4 linked regions of the Astyanax mexicanus genome follow. The protein of the gene in region 3 interacts with the protein of the main gene of each other region in a biochemical or structural test. Links are inferred from orthologs where the notes say so. Each region holds a gene or a part of one and is shown on either strand. Other genes may lie near its edges. The genes, in order: fbxo18, rad54b, rad51 and rad52.

Region 1 (7,865 bases), on a different chromosome or scaffold from region 3:
TCCTCTTCTTCTTCTTCTTCTTCAATTTTTTCTTTCTTTATAGGTCTCACACCCATTTCAAACTCCTCATCATCCCCAAACATGTCTTCAGTAATGCCCTCCAAGTAGTCTATTGTAATGTCTTCTTCCTCCTCTTTTGGTGAGACATGTCCATTCTGCTGATTCTCTGTCTTGACTGTAGGCGAACCTTTAACTTTCTGAGGGCTGCTACTGAGGATTCCAGTTGAAGCGAAGAATTTGGTGATTTCTCTTTGCTGCTTGTCGCCTTCTGTTGCTGCAAAACATAACCAACATATTAACCCATATTAAAATAAGCTACAGGGGAAGCTTATGAATTAACTTTTTGAAACAATAATTTAAAAAAATCAGATAAGGCATGAAAAATGTGCCGAATAATTGTATTTTCATGTATACTGGGAGATTTCTATGGATTTTTATTCTACATGTTAAATAGGGTTTGATTCTGCCCTTGATACGTTTTATTTGGCCAGGTGTGAATACAGAAAACATACTTTGATACAGACCAAAACATAACACACAATGCATCTCAACACCCTTGAAAGTACCATAAGTGGTCTCAGTTGTAGTTTAACCTGGTATACTACCCAGATAATTAAGACCATTGTGAACAATGTCACCCCTGCTGCTGCTCCATATAAAACTGCACAGAAATATGCTCTAGTTCAGAACACAGGACCTTTTTACTGTATCTGGTTTCTTGCCTGGCACGTTGTGATGCATTATAGTGCACTTGCATTTTTCACTGTGTAAAACAAACCAAACCCAGTGGAAGAGTTAAGCTACCCTAACAACGCAAACAGCACATGTTAATTGTAAAAGTCTGACTAATTTCTTAGTCAGCTAACCCTAGTGTAATGGTTTACTGGTTTAAGGTAGATTTAGTTTAGACTTAGCTCAATAGAATTTCAATATTTTCACATGAGACAACCAACTTCTCCTTTTCAAAGTTCTGTCAAGGCAACATCAGCCAAAAGCTTTTGAAGAACAGTAACTGTCTATTCTGTTACATCAGCACTGTACTTGATTACTTTCAGGGCTATGAGAAATTACTGGCAATATGACAGCACAAGGAACCAAATGTAAGATTTTTTTCTTGGTAAAAATTACAATAACCACCATTTTGTTCATAACAAGCATAAAAAAAGTTGTTCTTCTCAGTAGCTAGCTATTTTCAGCTCCTCATCAAAGAGGAATTAAGTAATGACAATAATAATTAACTGCTGCACAATCTGCCCCCTTTCTGAAGACTTTTGATATCACAATAGTTATGATACGATAGTTAATCAGCAGTTAGGTTACTGAACTTTTGCATACCACTGCTATAACCTATATCTGTATAAGGTTCTTGAAGGGTTTTCACGATTCTTAGGGGGATGATTTCACCCTTCCCCTTGTAACTCTGTTACACTCTAAAACAAGGGTTAAGGGTACAAAAGAGAAATGGGATGGGGCCAAAGATACTGGTTGAATTTCTTGAACTAAGTACTTAGCCAACTGTGTGTCACATATACATACATACACATACCTCTTCTTCTTCTTCTTTTAGTGGGAGTCCTTGGTTGCATCCCACGATTCGGGTCACCGTTGTTAAGGTTGACAGTGAAAGGCTGGGTGATCGACTGGCTGCCAGTTTTGCTTTGGCTCAAACTGTGGCACTCAGAAGCACTGAGGTGCCTGCGTTTGGCCTTTCCTAAATCATCAGAGAAACAGAATTAATAATATTAAGAAGAATGAATAGACAGATCTGTACTGAAGCTTCATTTTCATATAAATGAAGATATGTATCTTATATATTTTACTGTTGTGCATTTCCTGACACCTCTGTTCTGTCCTCTGCAATACTAAAACATTGCAAATTTCCCCCATTGTGTGATTAACAAAGGCTTATCTTATCTCTTACTCATCTTAATTTATCACACTTTTCACTCAATTCATCAAGGCATTCTATCAATTTAATAAATCTTTTCTTAAATTCATTCTCTTAAATCAAGACATTTTCCTTTAATAAAAAAATCTATTTGGTCAATTTAATACATAGTTTCCTCTCAAATGAATAAACATACAACCGTTTTCCACTAGGGCTGCAACTAATGATTATTTTGGTGGTCGACTAATTTGATTATTATTTTTTTGATTAGTCGATTAGTCACCGATTATTTCTGCCATTTCCTCCATCTCTAAAACCAATAGAAACAGCTGAAGATGACTTTTAAAGGCATTTAAATGTCTAGATGTTGTTTAAATGTGCAAAATACTGATATTCAGTGAGTAAGTTAAATATGTTATGTTGGATATGATCCATTTACACATTTCACATTGAATTTTTGTCATCAACACTTTGTGTTATGCGGGACTGTTATAAATGAACGATTAGTCGACAATGAAATTTGTAGTCGACAAATTTAATTAATCGACCCTGTCGATTATATCGACTAATAGTTGCAGCCCTATTTACCACACACACAAACATACATATAAGCAAGCACAAACAGCATACATACACACACAAACAAGCAAGCAGGCTAGGTTAGCTAGTTTTACCTCTCTTACTTTAAAACATTTAACTCGATAATTTATTTAATATACGAAACATTAAATCAGTCTAATGTAGGCAGAACTGCAGCATGTTTAGCTGCTGTAGAGGTTTTATTAGAGAGTGAACGCTAGCTGGGTTAGCGTTGGCTATACAGAAATACAGCCTGTAGCTACAGGTATCTGTGTATCTGTGAGCGAGTGAAGCACCTCTGGAGGCCGACTCCATGGCTGAATAAACTCCGCACACAGTCCGCACACTGCACGCTCAATACCGGTTTAAAGGGCCTGTGAGCATCGCCGCGTTATCCCATCGATGCGTCCGCTGTTTCTGTTTAGAAAAGTATTCTCTTAAAGTAAAATAAACGAAGTTAAAGGGCGCTTTAAACTCCCTCACTGCGGAGCTTCTCGCACCGTGAGACTATCGCTTTGTAAACTTCCGGTCCATTTCCACAATAAATTCACAGTAAAAGTCCTGTTTCTAAAAACAGAAGAACACATTTTTATTTAAAAGTAATTACGAATAACTCCAGTGTTGTAAAACGACAATATATATGTAGCAAACATATTTAAACAATAACACAAGATTTTTTATATATATATATATATATATATATATATATATATTTTGCACAAGTAAAAGCACTAGATGGCAGTAATGTCTTCTCAGGGTACTAAGTACAGGCTAAGATTTTGCAAAGACTGGGGATCTTATCCATGACCTAGTAATAAAGTTGTGCATTTAAATAAAATAATAGCGTACTTGAACTATATGCGGAATAATTAAAGTATACTTTTTCTACTTTTTCAAACATTTAGTATTTTAGAAAACTTTTTTTAAAGTATACTTTATTTGGCTGTGCAAATTTTTTACTGGTGATGTAATAAAAAAATATATGCTTAGTATTATTTAACGAAACTGTGCTTTTTATGATTAAAAATATGCTTTAACTGAATATGTCCTAGGAGCCTATATTATAACCAACCCTTGCACATAGACCACTGAGGTGGGTCAATCTGTAGTCCTCGTATGGCTTTTTCCTTGTAAGGAAAATGAATGGGCTTTTTTAAAAAAAGCTCTATCACATTCTGTGGTAAATAAATATGTTCAGAACCCTGTACGTTTTATTCTGTGTACATTTTACTCCTAAACTTCACTTTTGAGATCGTTTAATTAAGAGTTGTGATTAGAAAAATGTTAGCTTTAAGCTAATGCTACAGTGCAGCTGCAGAGATCGGCAGGGGAGTCTTTTCGGCGCAACACCAGCGTATGTTTCTACCATATTAAACCCAGCTGATCCAACTACTGAACTAACTGCCCTCACTGAGGAGAGCTGAGACCAGTTTTAAACACTGTAACACGTTTTACGCGGTGAAATAAATTAGAGATGTTTGTGTTTCTGGCTCGTTGTTTTAGTACATTAAGCTACGTTAACATTTGTTCTTATAATAGGTTTCAGTGGGAAAAAAATACACATATCTTTTTATATGAAGTATTTTAGACTCTATGGTTCTTAAGTTAGCTGGGTTAGCTCTGTGGTTCTGGAGTAACTTTGTCCTGCTAGTTTTTTACTTAGCTTGCCTCAGCGAGGGCAGATAGTTAGTTGATTAGTTAGTTGTTAGGTGATTATTTGGGTCAGGTGTGTTTTAATTAGTATAAACTAATGACCGTAATTTAATGCTAAAATGAACTGAACTGAGAACCACTTTCTCTTATTATCTGCCTTTTAAAGCTCTAACACAGACTACACTGCTCAACATCACCATACTAAAATACTTTTTTTACCTCTCTGAATGCTTTAATGATCCTCTACCCACTTTGGGTACTTAGTTTCATAGGGGATTGATATTTCTTCTGTGTCAGTGGTCCACATTTTGCTCTATCCCTTTGTGTGAGTTGAGACTGAAAAAAAAACAAGACTGGACTGTCTGGGGAGGCTAGGGATTGGTTTCAGAGCCCCCTGTACCATGGCACTGCTCCAAAGAACCCTTTTTTACAAAACAGGTTTAGGATGACAAGTACTGGAGTAGCTTTTCATTTATACACTCTCACTTAAACTCATGGTAATTAGGTCTGTATGAGCAAAACATCAACAAAGTTCACTTAACTGTAGAAGGTGAAATTCCACCAATTGTTCTAAATTGGCATAATCCAATGGCTATGACGTAAACAAAGTCATTGAGAGTGGTTTGTTGTGAAATGGTTCACCGTAGAGAAAAAAGAAAACAGTCCTAAGAGCCACTTAACTCCAAACCATATAGCTGAAATGTGTTCCTTTTACGTAATGAACGATAGCAGTCCTGCTTAGTCTCTGCAGCCCCTCTCAGGTTCAACTGTGCTATGGACTCCTGCCCAGTTTATAAACCCATACATCACACAGAGCCCCTCTCAAACAACCCCTACCAATTTTTTTTGCCTTTTTCAAATTTGAGCTGAGGGTGGAGTCAGCAGAAATCAGGGGGTTTAGTGCCACTTTAATGTCTACACTTTAAATGCAGCCCTCGTATTTACTATCCAAAACCACTAGTGAATCTACACTTTACATTTTATATTTAATGATGATCCGGATAAAACAGTGGGCAATCAGAAAAGCATGCTTTCTTTTTGTATTATTAAATTATATTTCAAGCCAAAAAGTCATTAATCATTCTTTCGGGATTCTTGACAGGATTTCGGCTCTTGCTCATGAATATTCATACATGCAAACATAACGTTTTAAAATAAAGACATTTTTACACTAACAGTCTTTGCAATGTTATATGTTATATATGTTATGTTACAACAAGTGCAGTTCAGCCACTGACCTAGTCTTAGAGTCTCTGTAAAATGCAAAATCCACTGGAGATTCTGTGTAAACCTAGTTACTTACACACAGAGGTGGGTAGTCCAGGTCCAGAAAGTAAAATGTTTTACATTAAACTAGTGTAAACAGAATTGTTCTAATATACACACCTACCTATCTCAGTTGTACTTCGCTGGTGGTGTTCCATAGACACACAGCTCTGCCTGTGGGCGGTTGCGAGCCAAGGTGGGCGTGGCCATGAATACCAATTCACAGGTTGACGTAGACACGTTGCTTTTCCTGATCAACTAATTTTTCTGAGCATTTTCTTTTACTTGCTACTGCAGAAAATGGAGGTTTAGGAAGAGTTTCATGTGCAGCATCCATATACAACTCAGAGAGACATATTGTATTTTACAAAGAACAAGAAAAATTGGATTTTAGCGGAAGGACAAGTTTAGTTCATAGGCAAAAGTTTTATTGTGATATTGAGTGAATCTCGGATTTAATTCCTAACAAACAATTAGGTTTTGAAAATCGATAATATTCTGTTTTTATAAATGATGTGGGAAAATCTAGTCCCTTGTAATGTAACACTACTAAACTACATCTAGTAGTTTCTAAGTCAGTGTTGTTTGTTAAAAGTTGTGGCTATGCGTGCTTGTGCCAAATTATTTTTGGACAAATTTTCCATTTTTAGATTCTGGTGAACACCTCCAGTCCTCAGAGCAAATAAGAAAAGGTGTTGTGTCCTCCAGCAGCTCTCCCAGCAGAACTTCAGCTCTGTCTTTAGTTTTCATCTTCAGCAGCAGATGCTGCAGGCTAAAGCCCGGTGCTTATTTAATCTCACAGGTACTGTAGCTCCTTTATCCCGCCTGCCTGAACCCTCCCCTGCCTCCCACTTGGCAGCTTTTCTTCTTTGCCGAGAGCACAACTGAGTTATTGTATTACTCTTATCCTTGTTAATACTCACAACACCTACATCAACGTAACTTTTTTCCGCTTTGCTCTTTTTCCTCCTTTTCTTTGTTTTGTTCTTTTTTGGTTCTTGACTATATTTTCTTTTTATTTGTTCTTGCCTAATTTTATTGATTTTGATTGATTATTGACAGATATTGACAGTTTTTTTGGGCTGTTTATGACATGCATGCTCTGATACCGCTTAGTAAAACAGCTTTGGCTGTTAAAATGCCTTTCATATACTTACTTACTCAATATAGCTGTAGTGCTTTATCGTGTGCAATATTCTATTTACAATGTGTCCTGTGATCTCTTTATCACCATTTGTGCAATATGTTTAACGGGCAATATTTTTCTTACCTTCCCATCTATGATTTATTTGCTATTTATTCACTGTTAGTCCTTGTGCAATAATACTGGTCACAACCTACCATAATCATATCTGCTCTGACCTTATCTTAGCTGCACTAGATGTATATATTTTTCTTTATTATATTTTTTGTAATCTTTTGAATGTATAGATTTATTGTTATTTGTTTATATATTTTCCTGATATTTTTCTCTCCTTTTCTCTGTGCTGCTGTAACATTGCAAATTTCCCCATTGTGGGATTAATAAAGGATTATTTTATGTTATCTTATCTTATCTTAAATGCCTTATTAGTTTGATATGTTGTGACGTGTATGTTGTTATGCATGCGTCTAAAGTCATACGTCTGAAGTCATTTTTTGCGTTCTGCATTGAATAGTCAAATCAAATAGTCAACTCAAATGAGAAATCTACACATATTACATTTGAAGGATATTACACACAAAAAACTCTGTGAGCAACAGCGGGACCTTTGGTCCACTTGGCTCTCCCAGCCCACAGTTTATGCAGTTAATAAGGGGAATTCACTTAGTGTGGGGAATCACATCATTAGAGACTTCTCATACAAGGCATATGGGTTCCTGTCATTTTTTCCAGTGGCTGGACTGGAAGGTGGCTTTGCTAAGCTCTGTCCGTGTGAAGCTGCACGTAGCAGAAAGCTCTACTCAGCACAAGTCTAATGTGTGTGTGTGTGAGGCAAAGAGAAAGAAAGAGAGAGGGGTGTGTTTGGTTGAGTCAGCTTGGAGTGAGGAGCCTCCTCGTGACTGGGGTGTTCATGACATCATGCAAAGAGACGAGAGAAAGAGAGAGAGAGACAGCGTCTCCTAATGTAGCTCATTCCCCCCTGAGGACTAATCTAAACCACTCACTCACTCACTCACTCTGTCTCTGAGAGCTTTAAATAGAGGGAATCTGATCCAGCCCTTTATTAGTGGCAGTTTTATCTCCTTATGTCAACAAATGTATACCTCAGTGATCCAAAGATCTTCATGCCTTTTGTTAAATCATTGACTTCACTGACTTAAAGCTGAAATTCTTAGTTTCTTTGATTTTACCAAATTGAAAACCTCTGGAATATAATCAAGAGGTAGATGGATGATCACAAGCCATCAAACCAAACTGAACTGCTTGAATTTTTGCACCAGGAGTAAAGGCATAAAGTTATTCAAAAGCAGTGTGTAAGACTGGTGGAGGAGAACA
Region 2 (7,195 bases), about 70 Mb from region 3:
AATACTTTTTATTTACTGGGAAAAAAAGGAAACAAAATGGTATACAGATTGTAAAGTGTAGCATTAAAGACCTAAACTACAACTTGGAAGTGAAATTAGTTACACTCTCGAGGTGTAAGTATGACATTTTTAAATGACAAAAGCCAATCAAACATTTGCTCCGATGACAGAGAATAAGTTATTTTAAAAAAAATAATTACTGACCTCAGGTGCAGGAACATGGCTCTCCACTCTCTGAGACTGGTGATGCTGTTGCAAGAAGTAAAAAACATGGATGGGGTATTATGGTATGTGGCTATTTTTGAAAAATTAAATACTCATTATTAATAACAAACATTTATATATGCTTAATTCTAAAATATATTGTTTAAAATAATTTTCTATGCTGCTTAGTTTAGAATATAAATTCAGTCTCAGATTTCATGCAAGTGCACATCAGGCCTCCAGACAAACTTTTTTCACAACTTTCCCAGATTTGCCTGAAGCGTTCTATCATGCTCTCCCACAAACTAATAATCATAATCATTCCCAAAATATATTTTTTGACATTACACTTTATTGTTGTATTCATTGTGTATTGTCGTTGTATTAATCTGCATATTATTCTACTGCCATAACATCTTTGGTTAGACTTCATCTTCTAGGCATCATCTCCTGGTGTTACCAGCAACCTGACTGGCTCTATGTTGAAATGTGGGAATGTATCTGTAAACAGATTCTGTGCTAAGTATTAGGAAAATTTCATATTTCAACCAGCCAGCAATCATCTAATAAACAGCTCAAATTTGCCTTTCCAAAAGAGCTGTCCATGGGACAGTGGATTGTGTTACTTTGGAGACCTGGTACATGCCTAGTGAAGTAAACTGGGTTAAAACAACATAAACCTGAAGTACACTGAAGTATACACTGAAGTATCCTGTCAAATCAGATGCTATGCACCTTTGAAATGCAATCCATGTAACAGAGTAAAAAAACGAACTAATTTACTATCAGCTCTTTACCTGACCACCTGGATTTTTTTGTCATGTAAAAGACATTACTGAACCCATATCAGCATTCATACACTGAGATAGCCTATCAACTTTTCCTAAAATCCTTAGTTAGCTTACCTTGTTAATTCCATTGCCCAGTACTCCAGTCTGTGAGGGGGCAGGAGGTATAAACCTCGGCCTCTTCACAGCATTGCCCTGAAGCTGACTGGGGGCTGCAGAGCGGCGCATAATGCTGAGATAAAACACATCAAAACTGTTAAGTTTGTGCCAAGTTTTAATGAATCAGTGATATTAAGAAGTCAGAATTAAGAGGTCTATTATTAATAATAGTGCTGTCAGGCGAGTAAAAAAAAAAATAATTAATTACTTGCCCTGTGAATATTAATCAAAATGAATCACATTTAAATTGCATTCATCATAAAAATATTTTAAACTGTACAGTTGAGTTGAATTTTAGCTGAGGAGCAAACAAATGAATAACTGGCATAGACGTAAAAAGCTCCCTGTGATGAACAAATGTAAATACTGTACATCTCTTACTGCACTAATCCAATTTGTTATAGATTGGTCAAGTTGGTTGTGGTGGTCATGCTGATATCACTGCTGTGCAGGGCTGCAACACAATTAGTTAATGGACATAATGGACAATACTGATTATTCAAAAAATGACGACTAATCGTTAATTTGACACTGCACTACACAAAGTGCTGGGGACAGAAACACAAATCACATTTAGCTTGGTCAACAAAAGTGGCAGACACAACAGATTACATAATGTCTTACTAAATATCAGAACAGCTGTTTAAGCAGATTTTTTTTGACAAATTGGAAAAAGAATATTTGTCAGATTAATCGACTACCAAAATAATCACTAGTTGAAACGCTAGTGCTGTGTCTAATCTACTTGTACCAGCACAACACATCACACAGTAACACATTACACAATAACACAACACACTATAACACATCACATCACACTATAATAGATCACACTATAATAGATCACACTATAACACACAATATCACATCACACAATATCACATAACAAAACATATCACACGATAACATAACACACTATAACACATCACATCACACCACACTATAATAGATCACACAATAACACATCACACAATGACATCACACTATAACACACAACAACAAATATCACATAACACATATCAACACATCACACGATAACATACAATATCACACATCATCACACTATAATAGATCACACATCCCACAATTTCATCACATCACACTATAACACTGCAGTGCTGAGACAGATCCAACACCTAAATTACAGGTTAGCTGCTCTGTGCATATCGCCCAGTCCTATCTGATGGACAACAGCTCTAAAATAGTGTGATGTGCAACAAAACATAATAAAAAAAGATGTCCACTGCAATGGATGCTAAAAGAGTCTAAAAGAGTTAAAGCCTTAATATTTGATATTAGCTAGCTATATGTACTCCTGACAGTAGAGTAACTTAAGTCACAAACCTATAATAAAGCCCAGTCATGCAAAAAACTATAAATAAATTATAATAAAAATACCGTGATAGACGGTGAAACTGTCAGAATCTTGAAGAATACCGTGATTTACATTTTTGGTCATACCGTCCAGCACTAGAATTAGCGAAGTTAAGAACTAACTAGCGAGAGTGTCAAGTGTCCTGTATGATGAGTGAGTGTATAAACTGGGAGGTGGTAACTTACAGGGGCAGCTAGGTTGCTAGCTAAACTGAAATTAGCTGCATTTTGTTGTTGTTGTTGTCAGATTGAGGAGCTAATGCTAGCTAAGATAACTACAGCTGTGAAATATATCTGTAAGAAGCAGTAAAACAGACAGCCGCTGTGAACAGCTGAAGTTTAATCGTTTTTAGATTAAAATATCGCTCACTTGCCTTTTATCGTGAAATCCTCCCGTATAAATACTACAAATGCTCAACTACAACTTCTCCGCTTACTTTAGCTCCTACCGCTGCTGGGAAACCTACACAGAGTTTCGCGCCGGGAAGACATAGCTCATCGCTGATTGGTCGAGCTTATGTTGCCAGGTCCAGCAAAACTCCTAAAAACTAACCCAACATCTATCTAATGTTGTCACAGACGTTGAAAGGAAAGAAAATGTAAATAGAAAAAAACTACTAGAACTCATTTAAAAAAGTGTACTACACTTAAAACCTCGCCTAGTAGCAAAGAACATTGAATAAACGTCAGCCTGTCACAATAAAAATAATTTGTGGACGATATACAGCTCTGGAAAAAATTAAGAGATCACTTCAGTTTCTCTGATTTCGCTATTTATAGGTATATGTTTAAGTAAAATGAACATTGTTGCTTTATTCTATAAACTACGGACAACATTTCTTCCAAATTCCAAAATATTGTAATTTAGATCATTTATTTGCAGAAAATGAGAAATGGCTGAAAAAAAAAATGCAGAGCTTTCAAACCTCAAATAATGCAAAGAAAACAAGTTTATATTCATAAAGTTTTAGAGTTCAGAAATCAATATTTGTTGGAATAACCCTGTTTTTTAATTATGGTTTTCATGCATCTTGGCATGTTCTCCTCCACCAGTCTTACACACTGCTTTTGGATAACTTTATGCCATTCCTGGTGAAAATTGTTTCAATATTTCGCTTGATTCAATTGCAGATGTTTTTTAATTTGGTAAAAGCAAAGAAACTAAGCATTTTTTTAGTAGTCTCTTTTTTTTTTTTACCGAAGTGTGTCTTCCCAGACATTTTTGTGATAAACAATATTAGACCATTAAATGTCACGGACATAGCAATAATAGAATAGCATAACACAACAATCATACTATTTTAAAGACACATTCTTTCTTTACTGCAGTCCACGCGAAGTGAATGTGTCACAGTTACTGAAGAATATTGGTCATTGCATGACTGGCTAAAATACTGTTCACTGTTATATACAGTGGTGAGAAAAAGTATTTGAAGCGTCATGATTTCTATTCATGTTTTTCACTCTATAATGTTTCAAATCATCAAACTAATTTAAATATTAGTCAAAGACAGAACAAGTGAACACAAAATACAGTTTTAAATGAAGTTTTTATTATTAAAGGAGTAAAACAATCCAATCCTACCTGACCCTTTGTGAAAAAGTGTTTGCCCCCTACATCTAATAACTGGTTATTCCACACTTAACAGCATTAACTGCAATCAAGCATTTGTGGTACCTTGCAGTGAGTCTTTCACAGTGCTGTGGAGGAATTTTGGTCCACTTTTCTTTACAGAATTGTTTTAATTTCACCACATTACAGGATTTTCTAACATGAACTGCCTTTTTTAAGTCATGTCACAGCATCTTAATAGGATTCAAGTCAAAACTTTGTTTTGCTTCAGCCATTCATAGGTGGACTTGCTGGTGTGTTTTGGATCACTGTCCTGCTGCAGAACCCAAGTTTGTTTAAGCTTGAGGTCACAAACAGATGAAAACCACAGTGATGGAAAAATCAACGATGATACAATGTCCTTTTGATATTTGGGTCTGTTAATCTTATTTTGTTTTTAAATTTAAACTCTAATTTATACATTTTTTTAAATATTTGGTTTATAATGTCATTATTGTTAGTATTGATTTTAGTTTATTATTAATAATAAGAATTAAAATGTTATATAATTATTTTACAAGGATTTTTTTTTTATAATAATTGCCGACACCTTGGCTATGGTCAGTGTTAATGAATCACCACATACAATATGTATCTATAGTTCCAGCAAAAGTGCTGTAATGATTTGTGAGTTTTTCTTGCTGTAGTTTATGATAATTACAGTTTTTTGTGTGATTGTTACTTCCTCTTATTAATAAATCTCTCTCTCTCTCTCTCTCTCTCTCTCTCTCTCTGTCTCTCTCTCTCTCTCTCTCTCTTTGGGTTTAGGATATTTTAAGGAACTTGTTTTTTTTGGTCCTAAATACTTTAATTTCTAAAAAGGAAAAAGTAGGGTTTTAAATATTATGGGATTAAAATGGCATGGGACAGCAAAGCTGGCAATTTGGTCCACAAGAAAAAACAAGATTCACGGCAGACTGATCCTGTCCTAATGGTGAAGGAACTGATTGTGAAACTTTAAATTAAAACTGATTATGACATTTTAAAAATATCCCCAGAAAACTGTGAATACCGGGAACTTGGCAACCCTTGGTCGAGCGCTGAACCGGTCCTGAAAGGGGCGGAGCGAACACAGTGTTTGTGAAGAGCAGAAACAGCATTAAAGTGTTCTGCATGCAGCATCTGAGAGGATACCAGTGTACTGGGGTCTAAATATGACAAGAAAAGACCTGGAATGTGAGGAATATTAAACCCGTGTGCAGGTAGGTGATGCATCTTTTGCATAGTCCTGCAATAAGTAGTGGTGATAGAAGTAAATAAATAAATAAATAGATAGATAAAAATAAATAAATACATAAATAAATAAGAATATATATATATGAGTATAAGTATGTGTATTGTGTGCATTTAAGCAGATACATAAAAATATATTGGTGTAATAGTGTAGTAATGCAACAGTGCAATACCCTACTGAACAATGCATTTATGTTTTGTGGTATAATGAGTGTCTGTTATGTGCACTGTGAATAAAGCAGTTGCATGCACATTAAAAATGCATGAGATCTGTAAATATGTGCAAAATCAAAATGTGAAGTTGATGCATGTAAAACAGTGGAGTCTACTACACTATATGTCTGATAATTTAACATCTGGCGTGTCTGTCTGAGAGGACACAGTTGACCGGTGCATGTTTAGAAATGCATGCATAAATCAGCTGTTGATGTCTGCTGCTGTGGCAGTGTTGCCATTGAGATTATAATCCAATCACAGTCCGGGAGGCTGTAATCCTTTGTAATCCCACCACAGCCACGAGGAGCAGAGATCATTCAGGAGATTGCAGTGAGAGTAACGGCACAGACAGACACACACACAACTGTCCTTAATAAACATGTCCTTCTCTGTTTCCCTTAAAAAACCTGTCCAGAGTGTCCACACACTGTCTTTAACTTTTCTTTAACTTTAATGAATGCCAGTCAGTGAACAGCTGCAACAGCTGCAGGTGGAGTATAACACTATAGATGACCTTTGGGCTGCAGGTTGACCTCTCGTGAGGATGACCTGGTGGTAATTAATGGTCACCTGAGTGGACACGTGCAGGATTAAATGTACAGCATGTATACCTTAAGATCCCACTCACGAGGAAGGGCCAAAGCAGAAGATCCTTCAAGGGAAATAATATAATAGAAATTCAGTATATGTAAACTATGTGTGTTTGAGGTCACAGTCATATATATATATATATATATATATATATATATATATATATATATATATATATATATATATATATATATATATATACGTATATATATACGTATATATATATATATATATATATATATATATATATATATATATATATATATATATATATATATACATAGCCCTTTGAAGACTCTATAATACTCTACTGTAAACTTATTAAATTGTTTAATACTGTTTTATCAAATGCTCTTACAGACATCAACCATCCATTTTAATTTGGCTTTTTAAAAGGCACTCTTTTAACTGCACTCGCCATGTCGGCTCAAAAGAATTCTTAAGATCATTTGTAAGGTACACGGCCAGTATAATGTTTCGCAGTTTAATTTTCTAAAGTATCAATCTAAATTAAAAAATAGAAAATTGAGTATAAAACGTAATTATTATTTTTTTCATTTAGTAGAGTGAAGAAGAACTTGGTTTTCATTCAATTTTTCAATTATATAGTTTTTCATTTCAGCCTTTGGCAAACAGAAAGAAAAAATGAAAAGGTGAATATTCCCTATAATAATATTTTCAGATTTATCTATTTATCTTGTTACAAAATACAGAAATGGAAAAAAAGCAGAAAATAAAGAAAATATATATTTTTTTAATTTTCCTGAAAATCCATTAATGAGGTGCAGAGATAATTGGAACTATAATAAACTATAAACTATAAACTAAATTATAAACTATAATTGGAAAAAATGAATGAAAACTTTCCCACCCACTATTTTTTGTAAACTGCACTACAACTCAAAATATCCATAGAAGCGAAATGCAATTAAAAATACCCAGCTCAATTTTCATGATGAATGGACCAATAGGAATGCTTAAAACTTATTTGAAATAAAATATTTGACATAGACTTCAA
Region 3 (7,422 bases):
CTCTCAGCAACAGCCAGAAGTCTCTCTGGACGGAACGTGCCCTCGGTGTCGATGTACATGGCTTTGCCTTCCCCTCCTCCCTGATCGATAGGCAGCTGACATGTGACTGCTAACGTGTGACAAAGCTGAGTCTTTCCTGTACGAAATTCCCCAAACATCTCTGTGATGGAACCTGTCTCAATACCACCTATAGACAGGGAAAACAAGAGAAAGCAAGAAAGTGGCTCTATTAACAAAATACATGTTGGCTACATACAAATGCAACAGACATCACAGTGGTGAGTGGCTGGAGCATTTTTGTGCAAAAGCGTAGTAACATGAAGTAATGAAAAAGGTTTCATTTTATATGTATGCATTTCATCTTAAATTGTGCTCTGCTGTTTTTACTTACTTTTTCTGCCCATTTAATTTGTGATTTATGTAAAGAACCTTGAATTGTGTACTAAAAAAACATTTCAATGTTGTTTTATAAGCTACATTACAACTGAGGTCAAACAATTCCTCACCCTGCAGAAGCTTGTCCAGCTCTTTGGAACCAGTGGAAATCTGAATGATCTCAGCTCTCCGCTGGTGAAATTCTGTTGCTGTTGTGAAGCCCATTGGAACCAGTTTAGCAGCCTCTGCCTGCAGGAAACAATAAAAACATAAATTTAAGGATTTAAATATCAAGGAGATTTTATTGTCATTTCACATCACATGTGGTACATGAGGTGGAACAAATTTGTATTCCCACGGTCCAGTTTACACTCAAAGAGCAATTGTTTAAAATAGAAGAATAAAAAGACAAAGTAAAAAGTATAATCGTAAAATAATAAAATAGAGAAGAAAAATACACAATATATAAAGACGTAGAGAAGTAGCAGCAACACGAGTTCCAAGTTGCTATAGCAAAATGGATGATTATTAAGAAGTGCTGAGCTCACCAAAATCTTGTCAGCTTTGGCCTCACTGATGCCCTTAATGTTGATCAGTTCTTTTTTGGGGGCATATGCTACAGCCTCGATGGTGTGAAATCCCGCATCTTCCAGCTTTTTCAGGTCACTGGCACTGATACCACATTGCTGCAGAACACAGAAACAAGCACTTCATGAACAGAAAGGACTATCGACAGCTTTGTGACACCTATATGTTACAAACAGATCCAACAAGCAAAATTTCACACTCTCTCCATGGGAAGGTAGTATTGCACTAGTAAGAGACTGTTGCACATCTGTTGACAGACTTTATGTAGTGATTCTCTAGTCATTCGTCAGTGATCAGTTCTGACCACAGAGCAGGTTTCAGCTCTTGCCCAAAACTAAAACACACCCATTTCAACCAATTAATGAATTTTGAGATCAATGATTAGTTTGAGCAAAAGTCTGCATAAAAGTAGCTCTCCAAAAGGACAGGCCAGATTGAAGACCACATATTTATTTAGCAGGTGTTTCTGATAAATCGACCAAAGAATAAAGACTCAATTAAAATGTAACAGCTTATGAGAAATCACTGCACTTCACTCTTGCATCTGGCTCTTTAAAAGAAAAGAGGCATTGCTCATGGCTGAATCGCTAGTTGTGTTAAATCATACCTCCAGGCGGTTCAGCGGCTGTGGTCCAAAACTATCCTCTTCTTCAACTTCTGCCTCCACCTCCACTCTGCTTTCACTTCTCATAGCCATCTTCAATTACCTGGACCATATTTACAGACATACAAGCACAAATCAAAGCTAAAACACTAATACTGGGGGTACCATCAACAAATATTTTTTTTTATTTAATTAAAGAATTTAATTTAAAAATGTTACAACTAGTCTGCTCTGTTACACACTACACAAGCTCAATATTATTTATTTTAATAATATCGTAATAAATATTGTATTTTGGTAAAAAGTCGTGATATCCTAAAAAACAAAAGCTGGAAGGTTAGTCACATTCATTTGATTAATTGGATTCTTGTTACATTGCATTTATTTTCAAAATGGGACATGTTTACGTACAGAACCTGCCAGAGGGAATCTCACTAGATAGATTTGTTTTTCGGTCAAAAAGAAACTGTAAAAAAACTCTAACTCTAATGTAACAGTATTTTTAAAGGGAGCTGCTTCATAATCTTATAAGAATGAATGGTTATAATTATGACTTAGATTGAGAGAGAGAGAGAGAAATATATAATTGGTCACAATATCTCCCAGCTCTAGTTACACAATATGTTTACCATATCTGGCACAGCTAACCTAGCTAGCGTTAGCTAACCCATAGAAATGGAATTTATCCACTTGAACATTTGACAACTTTTCTGCCCTGTTTGCCCGCTGTGAGAACATTAAGATAAATTTAAAACTAGCAGAAACTAAGAATAAATCGGTGTTAAAACCAAACACGAGAAAAACAAAGAGAAAACAGTAAAGAGAAAATCACTAATCGTGAACAATCGTACCTAGTTCACCTAACTTAGCTAATCTATAGCTATAGCTAGCGTTAGCTTAGCTACAACAACAGGGCGGTAGTAGCTTTCGCTAGATTTAATTTACAAAGCCAGGAGAGCTTAGTTAAGTTAGCCAAAACCAAAATGACCCGAGACGAGTGTGGTCGAGTGTGTTGCTCTGCTCTGGTGTGCTGCAGTGTTTCTGACCGCAGAGCGTCCAGATAACCCCGCGCTCCTGTTATTGAGTTAACTCAGCTGTATCTGGATCAGTTCAGCTAGCCTGCACTGAATCAGAGCGGCAGCGGCAGCAGCAACAGTAACAGTAACAGTAACAGCTAACGCGCCTCTCCTCTTCTAACACGTTAATGCAGCTGAATCCGCTGAGACCCGCCCCGGACCGGCGCTGTCAGAGGTCGCCTACTGTTGCTGTTTCTGGGGCTGTATTGATATATCATTAATAACTGAATAAATAAACTGAATTACAGATAAATAAACAGAAGTAGAGGAGCTCTCTCACCGACTGGCCTCACAACCGAGTTTCCCGCGCCTGCGTCACCGGTCACGTGACACCGAGCGACGTCACAGCGGGCGTGTTTTTTATCTTTTTGCCAAAAAAATATTATTTCTATAAAAAAAATGCACCCACGTCAGTGTAACCTTTAGCAGTTTAATTGCCTAACTATAGCTGAATTTATAATGAAGAATAAATTGGGTTTCACCCAATTTTCCAATTATCAAGTTTTTAATTTCAGCATTTTGCAAACAGAATTTCAAGAAAAATTAAAAGTTGAAGGTCAATGTAACGTTTATTAATTAAATTTTCTGACCATTTGAGGCTAAATGCAAAAATTGGATGTAAAAATTCATTATTTTTTTATGTTGTTTAATTTTTAATGTAGTGCATTGTACAAGAAAAGGTTTTAATATTTTTTTCCAATTTTAGTTTTTTCATCTCTGCCCTTCACAATCGTAATTTTAGGAAAAAAATTAAATATGAATATTTTATTTTCAGATTTTTTAATTTTGCAAGTTGGATTATACCATCAGATTTGTGTTAAAAGATACAAAAATGGACAAATCTGGAAATCAAGAGATTCAACTTTTAATTGTTCTTGAAATTCCGTTTGCAAAAGGCTGAAATGAAAAAAAAATTGAATGAAAACACATTCTTCTTTATTTCGAATTTAGTTTGATACAGTCATACTTTCATTTTTCAGATTTGTCAATTTTTGTAACTTGTAAACACAAATCTGATGTTATACTCCAACTTAAAATGCAAAAATTGAAAAACCAGAAAATAAAGAAAATATTTTTTTTTTCATTAACGAGCCTTGGGATCTCTTTCCCACGCCTTTATTTTTTTTTTTTTTTTACATAATGTCACCTTAGGGGCTCCGTACGCTTGTGAGGGGCAGAGATGGAAAAAAGTAGATTGGAAAATGGATGAAAACGTATTTCTTGTACACTGCACTACATAAAAAAATAGTTTTTACATTCAGTTTTCTATCTTTGCATTTGTTCTCTAACAGTCAGAAAATGTCATTAATAAACGTTTCACTGAGCACCCACACCTGGCAAAAATGCTTTAATCGCTGCGTCCTATGATAAATATCTCGAGTCGTTCCAGTCATGATCGCTAGGTCTGAAGAGGAGTATAACCGTCTGTTTCCAGGAGGTGGCGCCAGCAGCACCCTGTCCTCTGGCTGTGCCAAAGCAGCTGGTATTTACCACAGACTCGCTCTGGAGGCTCTAAATTTAGTTATAGCAGAGATTTTGCATTGAAAGGAAAATGTAATATGTGTCTAGGCTTAATCTCTGTCTGGGAAACTGACCCATAGTGTAGAGTGGACTGTGTTGGTGGAGTTGTGGTGCAGTAATCTGACTTTATGCCAGTGCCAGTATAAAGCATTTTATTTAATATTTAAACTCAAAATAAAAAAAAATAATAGTTAATTACTAGCACTTAAAGTTACAGCAAGACTAGAGACAATTCATATTCACATAACAGACATTACAACATTAACAGAACAGAAACATTACATCACAAAGTATATTATTTATACATTAATAATCATTTTCTGCTGCATATTTACATCACTGTACTCAATAAGAATTAAACATGCAAAACCTTTTTAATGTAAATCACACATAATTTATATCATGTAGATTTTGTGTAAAAGCAATGCATCTGAGCTTTATGTACAAAACCCCTTACACAGCCAGTCACACATTTCTTTAGATTTAAATATTCACCCATTTTGGTAAAGGTAAGGGGTCTATAAGGAACTCTGACAATAATGACTCAATAATGTTTTGGGTGTGCAAATGATTTTTCTAAACTATGTAAACTGTACAGGGTTCATTACATAACATCTGTGCTTTTACACTGCATGTCCTCTACACTACTTGACTTGACTGAACTCTACCCATTCCGACTCTATTCGACATCATTAAAATGTTTCTGATTTTTGTTGTACTCTGAGACCCCCTTTTAAACTCCATTGTATATAGTCATAAAAATAAAATTTCTTACTGATCAAAGATAAACATGTCAAATATTCATGTTACGCATATTATATACATAATAAAAACAAAGAACTAGAGATAGTACCTAATACAGAAAAAACAACAGATTTAAAACATTTTTTCTAAAAGTTTTTCTGCTTCTCGTAGGGGTTTTCCATCTGCGTGGCCTCTGTGGTGTTGCTGGTTTCGGCTGAGATGGTTGAATCCCCAATGAACTTGCTGGTTTTGTAATAATAAATGAACAGGAAGAATCCTGAGGAGAGACATGAAAAGTTCCTAAATAAGCAAATAATCAAGTAATCACTTAATTGTATTTTTTTTATATGTGTGCCTTGGACAAATATTTTTGAAACTGAGAGGAAGTAAACTTCTCAAACTAAAAATGTATCTAAATCTCAGTCTGTTTCTCAGTCTTTATTAACATAATATAAATCATCAGCGTTACCTGTACAAACACATAGGTGTGATTTGAATCAGTATCCTGTTTGATTTATTTGATGTATGCATCCAGGATTTACTGGTATTTTGTTTAATTCAATCTACTTTCCATATGTGCAGTGTCAGTGCTATGATGGCAACATCTAAATATAATGGGCCCTATTTTCACCTATCTATAGGTGAAGCGTCAAACACGCACCATGCAGCTTGATTTAGTGTAGATTTGGTGTAGATATATTCACAATCACTGTTGCTATATAAATGATGCAGGCAGAAGGCGTGAAAATAGACTGTCGATGGGGTTAATTATGTGTAAGATAGCAATGAGCATCATAACGCACCTTGTGTAGGGTCCAAACAGGCCCAAATAGTTGTGTCAGGAGCATAGACTCATGTCTCATTTTTTACCTGACTTTGTGTAATCTAGTATTGTATAATGGTCAGAGACTCTAAACTGGTCCCCTTAATATCCAACGAAAGCCGAGCACAAAAAGTAAACACAGGAACTAGTTTTCTTTTTGTGCTCAAATGAATTCAAACTGCCACCACATGAAGATGAAGTTTACTTCTTATGTTCTAATGTTTTGGGGCATTTGTTTCAGTTCAGGAGCAGGTTGGAGTTGTAAAGCGTACCTAGTTTTTTTTTTATGTGACAGACATTTTCTATTTCCCCCCAAAAAATCAGAAAACTGTGAGAATCAGGCTCAGTCTTTTATAATCTGTAAAAACAGTTGTTCAAAATGTTGTGTAGTGTGCACAAGTCTCAATAATATCTGGCATTGCAGATACTTTTAGAACATGGCTGTTTCAAAAGCAGTGTTAGTATTGTAAAACTGATTGATACGCTCTTTGCTTTCATGACTTACCTTGGAAGGAATTGAGAATTGTGAAGATGTAGTACGATGGGAGGCGCAGGGCACCATAGGCGAAGAAGGCGAAGCCCCAAGTGACTCCAAGAGTGAAGCACAGGCCCATTATGGTCAGGATGTCCGAGGTGCCTGTCCCTGTGCGCTTACCCGAGCCAGAGGCTGCCTTTTTGTGGCCTGCTGTGGTTCTTTTGAGGAGGACGATCCACCGCAACATGACCACAAAGGTCGTGAAGGTGAAGGCGAAGATTACAGAGTAGTAGCCGATGTTCACAACGTAATGGACAGAAGAGTCTATGATCCAACACCTTTAGAGCAGAAGGCAAAGTTAAGATCAAAAGAGTCATATGGAAACTTCTGACTTACTACTGGCACCCACCCACTATCAGGGCCTAGCTCGAAATCGAATCATGTATTTATTGCCTTGCTATAAGCATGCAGGCAACCTTAATCACAAAATAGCACCTTAATGATCAATTTACAAATTACTGCCATCCCAAGTCTTTTTGTGCCAATAAATATATTCTGACTAACAACTGAGCCGAATTTACTTTTGTCTGTAAATTAACCAGGAAACTCAAAAGGACTCCAAGGAAACACTTTTTTTTTTTTACAAATTAAACTTAAATTTAGGGCCAATATGTTAGCTAACTAAAATAGAAAAATGTAAATTACTTTCCTTTATCATGTTACAGTAGGAACCCCTAAATTTAAAATCTCTCTGACAAAAATAAAAAGCGTTTTAGAAAATTTCTGTCTGTGAACAACAAAGGTTCCAAACCCGAACCGTTAAGGCCTGTGCACATTTTCCCCCAAAATATCTATGGATTGTCTAAATTAGGAGCCCATTAGCTAAAGAGGTGAAAATGTGCAGCAGTGCTAGCTTAGCATGTGGTGGTTTCCATATCTCACCTTCTTTTATAAATGTAACTATGTTAATCCGGAAATTTAATGTACTTTTCTTGACAAAACAAATATAGAGAAAATATGAGGAAAAAAGTAATGGATGTGGCATCCACCACTATGTAAACCAGAGAAAAGTCTTTACTATGTCATTAGTAATAGACAGAGGCCTGCATTTGGTGAGATATTTGGGTGGTGAAGTATTTTGAACCCCAAAAAGAGGCCACAATGCAACAATGATAATGTGTTAAAATATCTACAGATTAATGAGCTACTAGGAAAT
Region 4 (7,141 bases), on a different chromosome or scaffold from region 3:
CTGAGCTGCTGCTGCTGCTTGGTTTGGCCGCCCATCATTCCTCTGCTTTAGTCGTAGTATAAGCCACTCCTGCTTTTTTTTGCTGGCAGACTCGCAGACTGCCCGAGCAGACAGACACCAGACAGACTGGTGGCGCTGCCGCCGCTGCTGCTGCTGCTACCTGGACCTTCAGACGATGCAACACTATGTAATGGGGTGTAACAGTACAGAACATTCACTGTTCGGTTCACACCTCGGTATAAACCCCACGGTTCGGTACGGTTGGTGGAAAATATAAAGAAGCTGGGCATTCTCTATAGCCTACCCTTTATTAACTTCATAATAACAAAGAAACTTCATGATAACCATGGGCTGTGACCAAAATGGCTCCCTACTCCCTCATTAGTGTATTGCTCTATGGAGACAATATGGCCCAATCCCATTTCACCCCTTGGCCCTACCACTTATCCCTACCCCTTCTTTTTGAGTGTGAAATCTTCCCCCTAATAATTGGGACACCCTTCAAAAGCACCCAATATGTCACCAGGACCTCTAAAGTTCAGTAACCTAGCTGCAGGTTAACAGGTTTACCTTAGGGCATTGTATGTCTTCATAAAGGGGGGAGGTGGTGTAGAAATTAATTATTATTGTCCATTCCTTAATTTCTCTGTGATGGGGAGCTGAAATAAGCTTAAATTGGCTTTTATTTTATTTTTCCATTACGCAGACATCCCAAGTTGCAAAAGTTGATTTCAGGGAGGGTGGAACAGGAAAGTGAGCTAGCTAGCTAGCTAGCTACTGAGACAAACTACTAGCGATATTTTTTATGCTTGTTATAAAGAATTCGACCATAAAACATTGAAACTTCACATTAAACCAAAAAAATGTTCTAAGCATTACTTTGTGTTGCCATGTTACCAGTGATTCTCATTTCCCTTCGTTTGAAGTGCTTCTGAAAAATCTCTATATGAAGGGCTAAGAAGCTAAGAAGCCCTCCAGTCTAACAAGAAACAGGACACGCCTAAAACAGAGGGCTAGGGGTATAGTGTAGGGCCAAGGGGGGAAATGGGATTGGGCCTAGTAGTTCACTCAGTAGTGGTGAAAACAGCAGTGAATTCGGACATTCCCTTTATCATGCACCAGCACCGGTCGCATAAACACACACCTGAGTGGTTGAGCCATGTTTACTCCATAAACACACGAACTGAGCTCTGAATTAAAGTTCATGGAGTAATCTCTGACGGTTAAATTTACGCTGTTTACAACATGGAGAAAAACCTGAAATTAACAGCGTGCAGCGGCTCCCAATGTTGCCAGTTTGGATGGTTTCATGCTAAATCGCTGTGCTTTGACGGGTGGACAAATCTACGTTAAGAAATTAAACTCATCAGTGTTGTAGATAACCTTTCAGAGAGCTAGTCCTGCTAGTGGAAAGTTAAATAAGCAGTGTTTGTGTTAGTTATTAAGCTTGGTATAAGTATTTACTTCTTTTGTTGCTTGTAAATTTATTTTTATGAACTGTAATTACTTTACATGGTTCTTGTGTCTTATGATACACTAAACTCATTTATAAAACACACATGCAGATAAAATCATTTAAATATATATATATATATATATATATATATATATATATATATATATATATATATATATTTTTTTTTTTTTTTTTCTAATTCTAATTTATTTAAGATATTTATGGTATTTTATTTAAGATCCTGTTGGAATAAACCCAGTAATATTGTTATACTGAACATTAGCGGTTTGGGCCGTTTTCTTTGCTTTTTTGGCAGATTTGAAACACGTTTTACCCGTAAATTCAGTTTACCTGAATCCCTCTGTGACAATTTGGCAACCCTGAGGGCTCTGTCTGCTCCTTTTGTACATATGTCTGTTGCTTAGTAGTGATTCCCGCAATGCATTCTGGGACACATTCAGCTCGCGTAGTAAGCAGCGATGTTTACTATAAATCAGGGTGATTATCCCGCTTAATTTCCACCTTACGATTCGTTCACTCAGAGAAAAACAGCTGTCGTAATCAATAATGCCCTAAATAGTTAAATAGGGAGCTATTTCAGTCACAGCCAGTAGCAAGTTACTTATAGCAACAGTGCTACAGCTACACTTTCCGGGTGCAACATCCTGTGAACAATAGTTCCACATTAGGTTCATTGGTTCCATAAGTCTCGTATAGACTGCCTGTGTTGTGTATTCTGCATGTGTTTGCGGAAACCAAACTATGACCTCCAGATCATGGTGTTTTGTAAAGAATACAAGTACCGATACACCCCAACTATGTAATAAACATGCATTGCAAATCACATCTACACTGTGAGGTGTCCGAATGTTTGTAGACCAATCATCTATGGTTTGTTTTGAAATTAAGCACAATGATGTGGACTTCTGTTCTTTGATGCAGTAACACTTTATAATCTTCAAAGAAGGCTTTATAGTAAATGTTGGAACATAATAGCTGTGAGCAGAGCAGGTGGGCATTGTCCAGGTCAAGACCAGCTGGTCACACACAAAAAAATAAACCCTTTACCCTATGCTGATCAAAAGCTAGAAAGCCTACCAGCGTAGGGTGTTTTTATTCTGGGAACCAGTTGGTCTTTAGCTAGGTGATGTTGGGTTGAGATCCACAGAGCCAGAGAGTTCTGCTTCACAGCACAATGCTGGAAGGCTTTGTACCCCTCTAGTCAGATCTAGTATTGGGCATGGTGACTTTAGAATTAAGCATTGATGCACTACATTTCCCATTTCCTATTGTCAATGCTTTTCTGTAAGCATGCAGCAAATATTGCACCTTTAAAACTCTTTAAATCTTACACTCTCAAAATAAAGGAACGTTTCTGAATGGATCTGGATTTTACATATATTTTGCCAGATTAAATGGGTTTGTTATGTACAGGAAAACCCCATTGGTTCTTAGTGGGATCTTTTAAAGTGTATGTAACATTTTTTTTACTAAATAATAGGTCTGAAAAATAAGAAAAGGCCTAGGCTTAAAATAAACTGAGCAGGTAATAGAAACAAAAACGTGGGCTGCATGAAATTAATTTAGCATATGAGACTTGTTCCTGTTCCTTTGTCATAATACTATTGAAATCAGGTCACAACAATTTTGACCTAAATGTGAAATTCTCAGTAGGGGGTCCATTCATGTCCAGTCCTGTTTCCATCCCATCTGTCAGGATGCTTGGCAGACTGGACTCCCAGTCCCAGTAATCCCAGAGACGTTATTAATGATGCCTATAAGGATTTGGGTAATCCTTGCTAGTGTCTATGAAGGCGACATTTAAAGCCAGTGTTTCATTTTATTTCAAATGCAGGAATTTATCATAGCATAAAATATCAGTAAAAATGTCTTACGGACAGAAATGCTTTTCTAATATTAATACAATTATTACTGCATTTTAGCTAATGAATATAATATAATATAATACAAGAAAGGACATTCGAGTTAAATTAAAACAAACAACCATACAGCTTTAACAAATTAAACAAAACATTTACACTGACAACACATCTCATTCATTACCTAACAAATTTACCTTTATTAATTATTATAAGTTTATTAGAACAGTTTTTATTTCTGAAGTCTCGACCATTAATATAAAGCAAAGGTTTGAACTTGTAGACGGTGTAAAAATGCACGAGATTCCTCAGCATTAATTAAACCTTTAGGGATAGAGTTAACTACATTTAACATTTTATTATTTATATTTTTAGCAGGTTTTCAAACTCAAAGCATTCCGAGGTGATACACAAGATGAACTGATAAAAATACAATTAATAGCTAAATAAAGTAGTAAACAAAGCAGTTTACAGCTTGGCACTCTTGTTTCCATCTGTCTAAATTGTCTTAGTAGAAATACTCTATTAACCAGAAACCTTAACTTAAAACTTAACTTGGTCTAACAAGTTTGAGGACCACTGCTTTACAGGAAAAGACCACTAAATATCTCTGTAAGGATAATTGTGCAGATTCGTCCAACCAATCAGCTACATAATGAATATCCCTATAATAATATAATATAATATAATATAATATAATATAATATAATATAATATAATATAATATAATATAATATAATATAATATAATATAATACCGCACGTTTTTGATATTTGCATATGACGTACGACGCACGGGTAGTCGGTCACGTGATTCGTACGTTTATTTCTTTCCTTGACGCGGGAAGTTACGATTTCCAGTCTCTTAAATCGATTTTTAAACGCTAAAAACACTTTTATCCACCCATACAGTCAGAATAACTGCGGGCACGCTGCCAGTTAAAGTTAAGAGTTGAGGTTAGGAGTTAAAGTTAGCCGGACTCTCGGAGCTGCAGGGCGGCGGAGGACCTGTGCAGCTCAGTGAATGGAGCTCTACGGGTAGACGCTAAAATGTATCTGTTAGCTGCGCAGCTAAGCTAACTAACTTATCAGTGACCTAACTGATACTGATGTTACTGTGCACCATGTGACCCTGCGTATATTTTATTTGAGAAAGAGCTGTAAACCTCTTTTTGTACCTGCGTGTTAGCTACGTTATCAATGTGTGTTTAGCAAAGCTAGACTGAGTGAAAGATCCAGCAGCTAACTTACAATATGGAGCAGAGCAGGGAGAGACCAGAAGACAGAAACCAGCAGCGGACATCCAGCATGTGCTTTGGACAGGTAAACTTCAGCCAGGTTAATTTAGGGATCCTCAGTCCTACACATTCACATACATGCCAGATTATTCTACACTAGATACTACACTACTATTGCAAGTGCAGTAAAGAAGCAGTAGTGCCCTAAACCAAGTCTTCATTTTGAGGTACTAGTTCATAATTATGAGATATTAGATGTGGGGGTCTGACTCAGTTTCTCGTAATAATTACTTAGTATCTCATAATTAGTATTAAGAGATAGCATCTCATAATTATGACTTAGTATCTCATAGTAATGACTTAGTGTATCATAATTATACCTATGAGTTAGTATCCCATAATAAATGAGCTAAATCAGGGATGATGGTGGTAAACACAAACATGTATAGTGTGTTAGCCCGAGGCCTGAAACTTTAGTTTTGAAGTTCTGCAGCACACCTGATTCAGCTCATGAAGGACTGACTTGATCATTATCTAGTGATGAGACTCTGGAACAGGGAAACATGAAACTGCACAGTGCAGGTGGATTACAGGGCTGGAGCTAGGAAACTCTGAGCTACATGATTTAATCATAAAGGACAGTCTGGATGAGGTCTAGGTGTGCTTATGTACCATATATTGACAAAAGTATTTGCCCAACCATTCAAATCGTTGAATGCAGGCGTTACAAACACTCCCATGGCCAAATGTGTATAAAACCAAACACCTAGGCAGACAGACCAATTCTACTAACATTACTGAACGAATAGATTGCTCTCAGGGGCTCAGTTAATTCCAGCGTGATACAGTGATAGAATTTGAGTCATACAGTTTTCTTGGTTTGGAAGTAGAAGTGACTGAATGCAACTTGCTCTTTCAACGTAAAAAGACAGAGTGGGGTTAGAGGATGCTGAGGAGCATAGTGTACATAATAAGGTTATCATCTTTTTTGCAAAGTCAATTTCTACAGGCCTCCAATACATCAAGTGGCCTTCAGGTTTACTCAAGAATAGTTCACATAATAGGATTCCATCCAAACCTTACATCACCAAATGCAAGGCAGGCAAATGGGTACTTATGGAAATATAGTGTATATAATGATAACATACAGAAAGTAGTACATCCACATCTGATTCTCTCTAACACATGCCAATGTTCACTGTCTTCAATCTAACTGTCTGCTGCAGACCATGCATTTTACATTTAGCATTACACAAAGTTTACTATCCATGTTCCTTCAGCAAATGCATGTAATTTCTTAAACCAATTTTTGTCATAATATAAAGTTTTTCTTTTGTACTTATAAAATGTTGCTTTTTTATGGGGTTCTAAGCAGTGTTATATAGTAAGTTCCGTTAAACTAAACTAAAGTGAATGTAAAGAATCTATACAGAAAGGTGTTTTGTTGCAATAAATGACAATTACTATTGTCACCCGTACACACACACAGAACAAACAAAAAAAAAACACATCATATCAAAGTCCCCATCTCTGTTGTGCTCATACATTAAAGTAGTCCATTATTTTTTTAACCAGATCCAGATATTTCTATTTTAATCCAGGCTCATCCAATCTGTGGATATGAAACAGTAGTAGATATTAGTAAAAATAGTTATAATGATGGTGATTTATATATGTTTTTTTTCCAGTTCAAATACACTGCTGAGGAGTACCAGGCAATTCAGAAGGCTCTTGGACAGAAACTTGGACCAGAGTACATTAGTACTAGACAGGCTGGTGGGGGGCAAAAGGCAAGGTGTCCTGTTTAGTAATCTACATTATTATAATGTTTGCTATTTGTTGTACAAGTATCTGAGTGTTCTGTCTGTCTGATCTGTCTGTTTGCAGGTGTGTTACATTGAGGGTCACAAAGTGATCGGTTTAGCTAATGAAATGTTTGGGTACAATGGCTGGTCTCATTCAATTACTCAACAAAATGTTGGTAAGGACAATCTTAATAATGTGTGCATGTATTATTATTATTATTATTATTATATGAAAAATATAACACCGATTTATTAGATTTTTGAACATTGGCATGTGATTATACTTACTGAGTTTTTTCACTCATTACAGACTTTGTGGACCTGATTAATGGTAAATTTTATGTTGGGGTCAGTGCATTTGTGAAAGTGCAACTAAAGGTAATACCTTTTGTCAAATAAAATAATTTGTCTGCATTTCATGGGTAGTCTTTACACACAGTAATGAGCATGTCTTTCTTACAGGATGGATCATACCATGAAGATGTGGGATATGGTGTGAGTGAGGGCTTGAAGTCTAAAGCTCTGTCGCTGGAGAAGGCAAGAAAAGAGGCTGTCACAGATGGACTGAAAAGAGCACTGAAGTAATTTAACCATTTCTTTAACACAAAAAAATATAAAATCTGTAAACATTTATTATATGAAGTGTAATGGGGTGTGGAACATGTTTGAACTGACTTCTGTGAACCTCTCTATGAAGATGCTTTGGAAATGCTCTTGGAAACTGCATCCTCAACAAGGAGTACCTTGTAGCCATCAACAAGAT

Evidence for each region.
Region 1: the proteins of rad51 (region 3) and fbxo18 form a complex in vitro, tested with the Homo sapiens proteins (2 studies listed by BioGRID, with this or other methods). The link is inferred for Astyanax mexicanus from reciprocal best matches to the Homo sapiens genes RAD51 and FBH1.
Region 2: the proteins of rad51 (region 3) and rad54b form a complex in vitro, tested with the Homo sapiens proteins (2 studies listed by BioGRID). The link is inferred for Astyanax mexicanus from reciprocal best matches to the Homo sapiens genes RAD51 and RAD54B.
Region 4: the proteins of rad51 (region 3) and rad52 form a complex in vitro, tested with the Homo sapiens proteins (6 studies listed by BioGRID). The link is inferred for Astyanax mexicanus from reciprocal best matches to the Homo sapiens genes RAD51 and RAD52.

The regions. Positions count from the first base shown.
Region 1 is NC_064409.1:7,139,455-7,147,319, reverse strand, and holds the start of fbxo18 (F-box DNA helicase 1), read right to left. Parts: upstream 3,019-7,865; 5' UTR 2,783-3,018; coding exon 2,764-2,782; intron 1,712-2,763; coding exon 1,547-1,711; intron 275-1,546; coding exon 1-274. UniProt on the Homo sapiens protein: 3'-5' DNA helicase and substrate-recognition component of the SCF(FBH1) E3 ubiquitin ligase complex that plays a key role in response to stalled/damaged replication forks.
Region 2 is NC_064408.1:109,702,940-109,710,134, reverse strand, and holds the start of rad54b (DNA repair and recombination protein RAD54B), read right to left. Parts: upstream 3,010-7,195; 5' UTR 2,900-3,009; intron 2,857-2,899; exon of another isoform or gene 1,533-2,856; intron 1,225-1,532; 5' UTR 1,221-1,224; coding exon 1,110-1,220; intron 250-1,109; coding exon 205-249; intron 1-204. UniProt on the Homo sapiens protein: Involved in DNA repair and mitotic recombination. May play an active role in recombination processes in concert with other members of the RAD52 epistasis group.
Region 3 is NC_064408.1:39,934,709-39,942,130, forward strand, and holds the start of rad51 (DNA repair protein RAD51 homolog 1), read right to left. Parts: upstream 3,009-7,422; 5' UTR 2,924-3,008; intron 2,918-2,923; exon of another isoform or gene 2,890-2,917; intron 2,722-2,889; exon of another isoform or gene 2,419-2,721; intron 1,671-2,418; 5' UTR 1,661-1,670; coding exon 1,571-1,660; intron 1,062-1,570; coding exon 924-1,061; intron 625-923; coding exon 507-624; intron 188-506; coding exon 1-187. Other genes in the region: adgrg11 (adhesion G-protein coupled receptor G2), read right to left, coding at 5,055-5,185, 6,237-6,544.
Region 4 is NC_064417.1:35,623,434-35,630,574, reverse strand, and holds the start of rad52 (DNA repair protein RAD52 homolog), read left to right. Parts: upstream 1-4,135; 5' UTR 4,136-4,589; coding exon 4,590-4,658; intron 4,659-6,261; coding exon 6,262-6,363; intron 6,364-6,460; coding exon 6,461-6,554; intron 6,555-6,688; coding exon 6,689-6,756; intron 6,757-6,840; coding exon 6,841-6,959; intron 6,960-7,075; coding exon 7,076-7,141. UniProt on the Homo sapiens protein: Involved in double-stranded break repair. Plays a central role in genetic recombination and DNA repair by promoting the annealing of complementary single-stranded DNA and by stimulation of the RAD51 recombinase.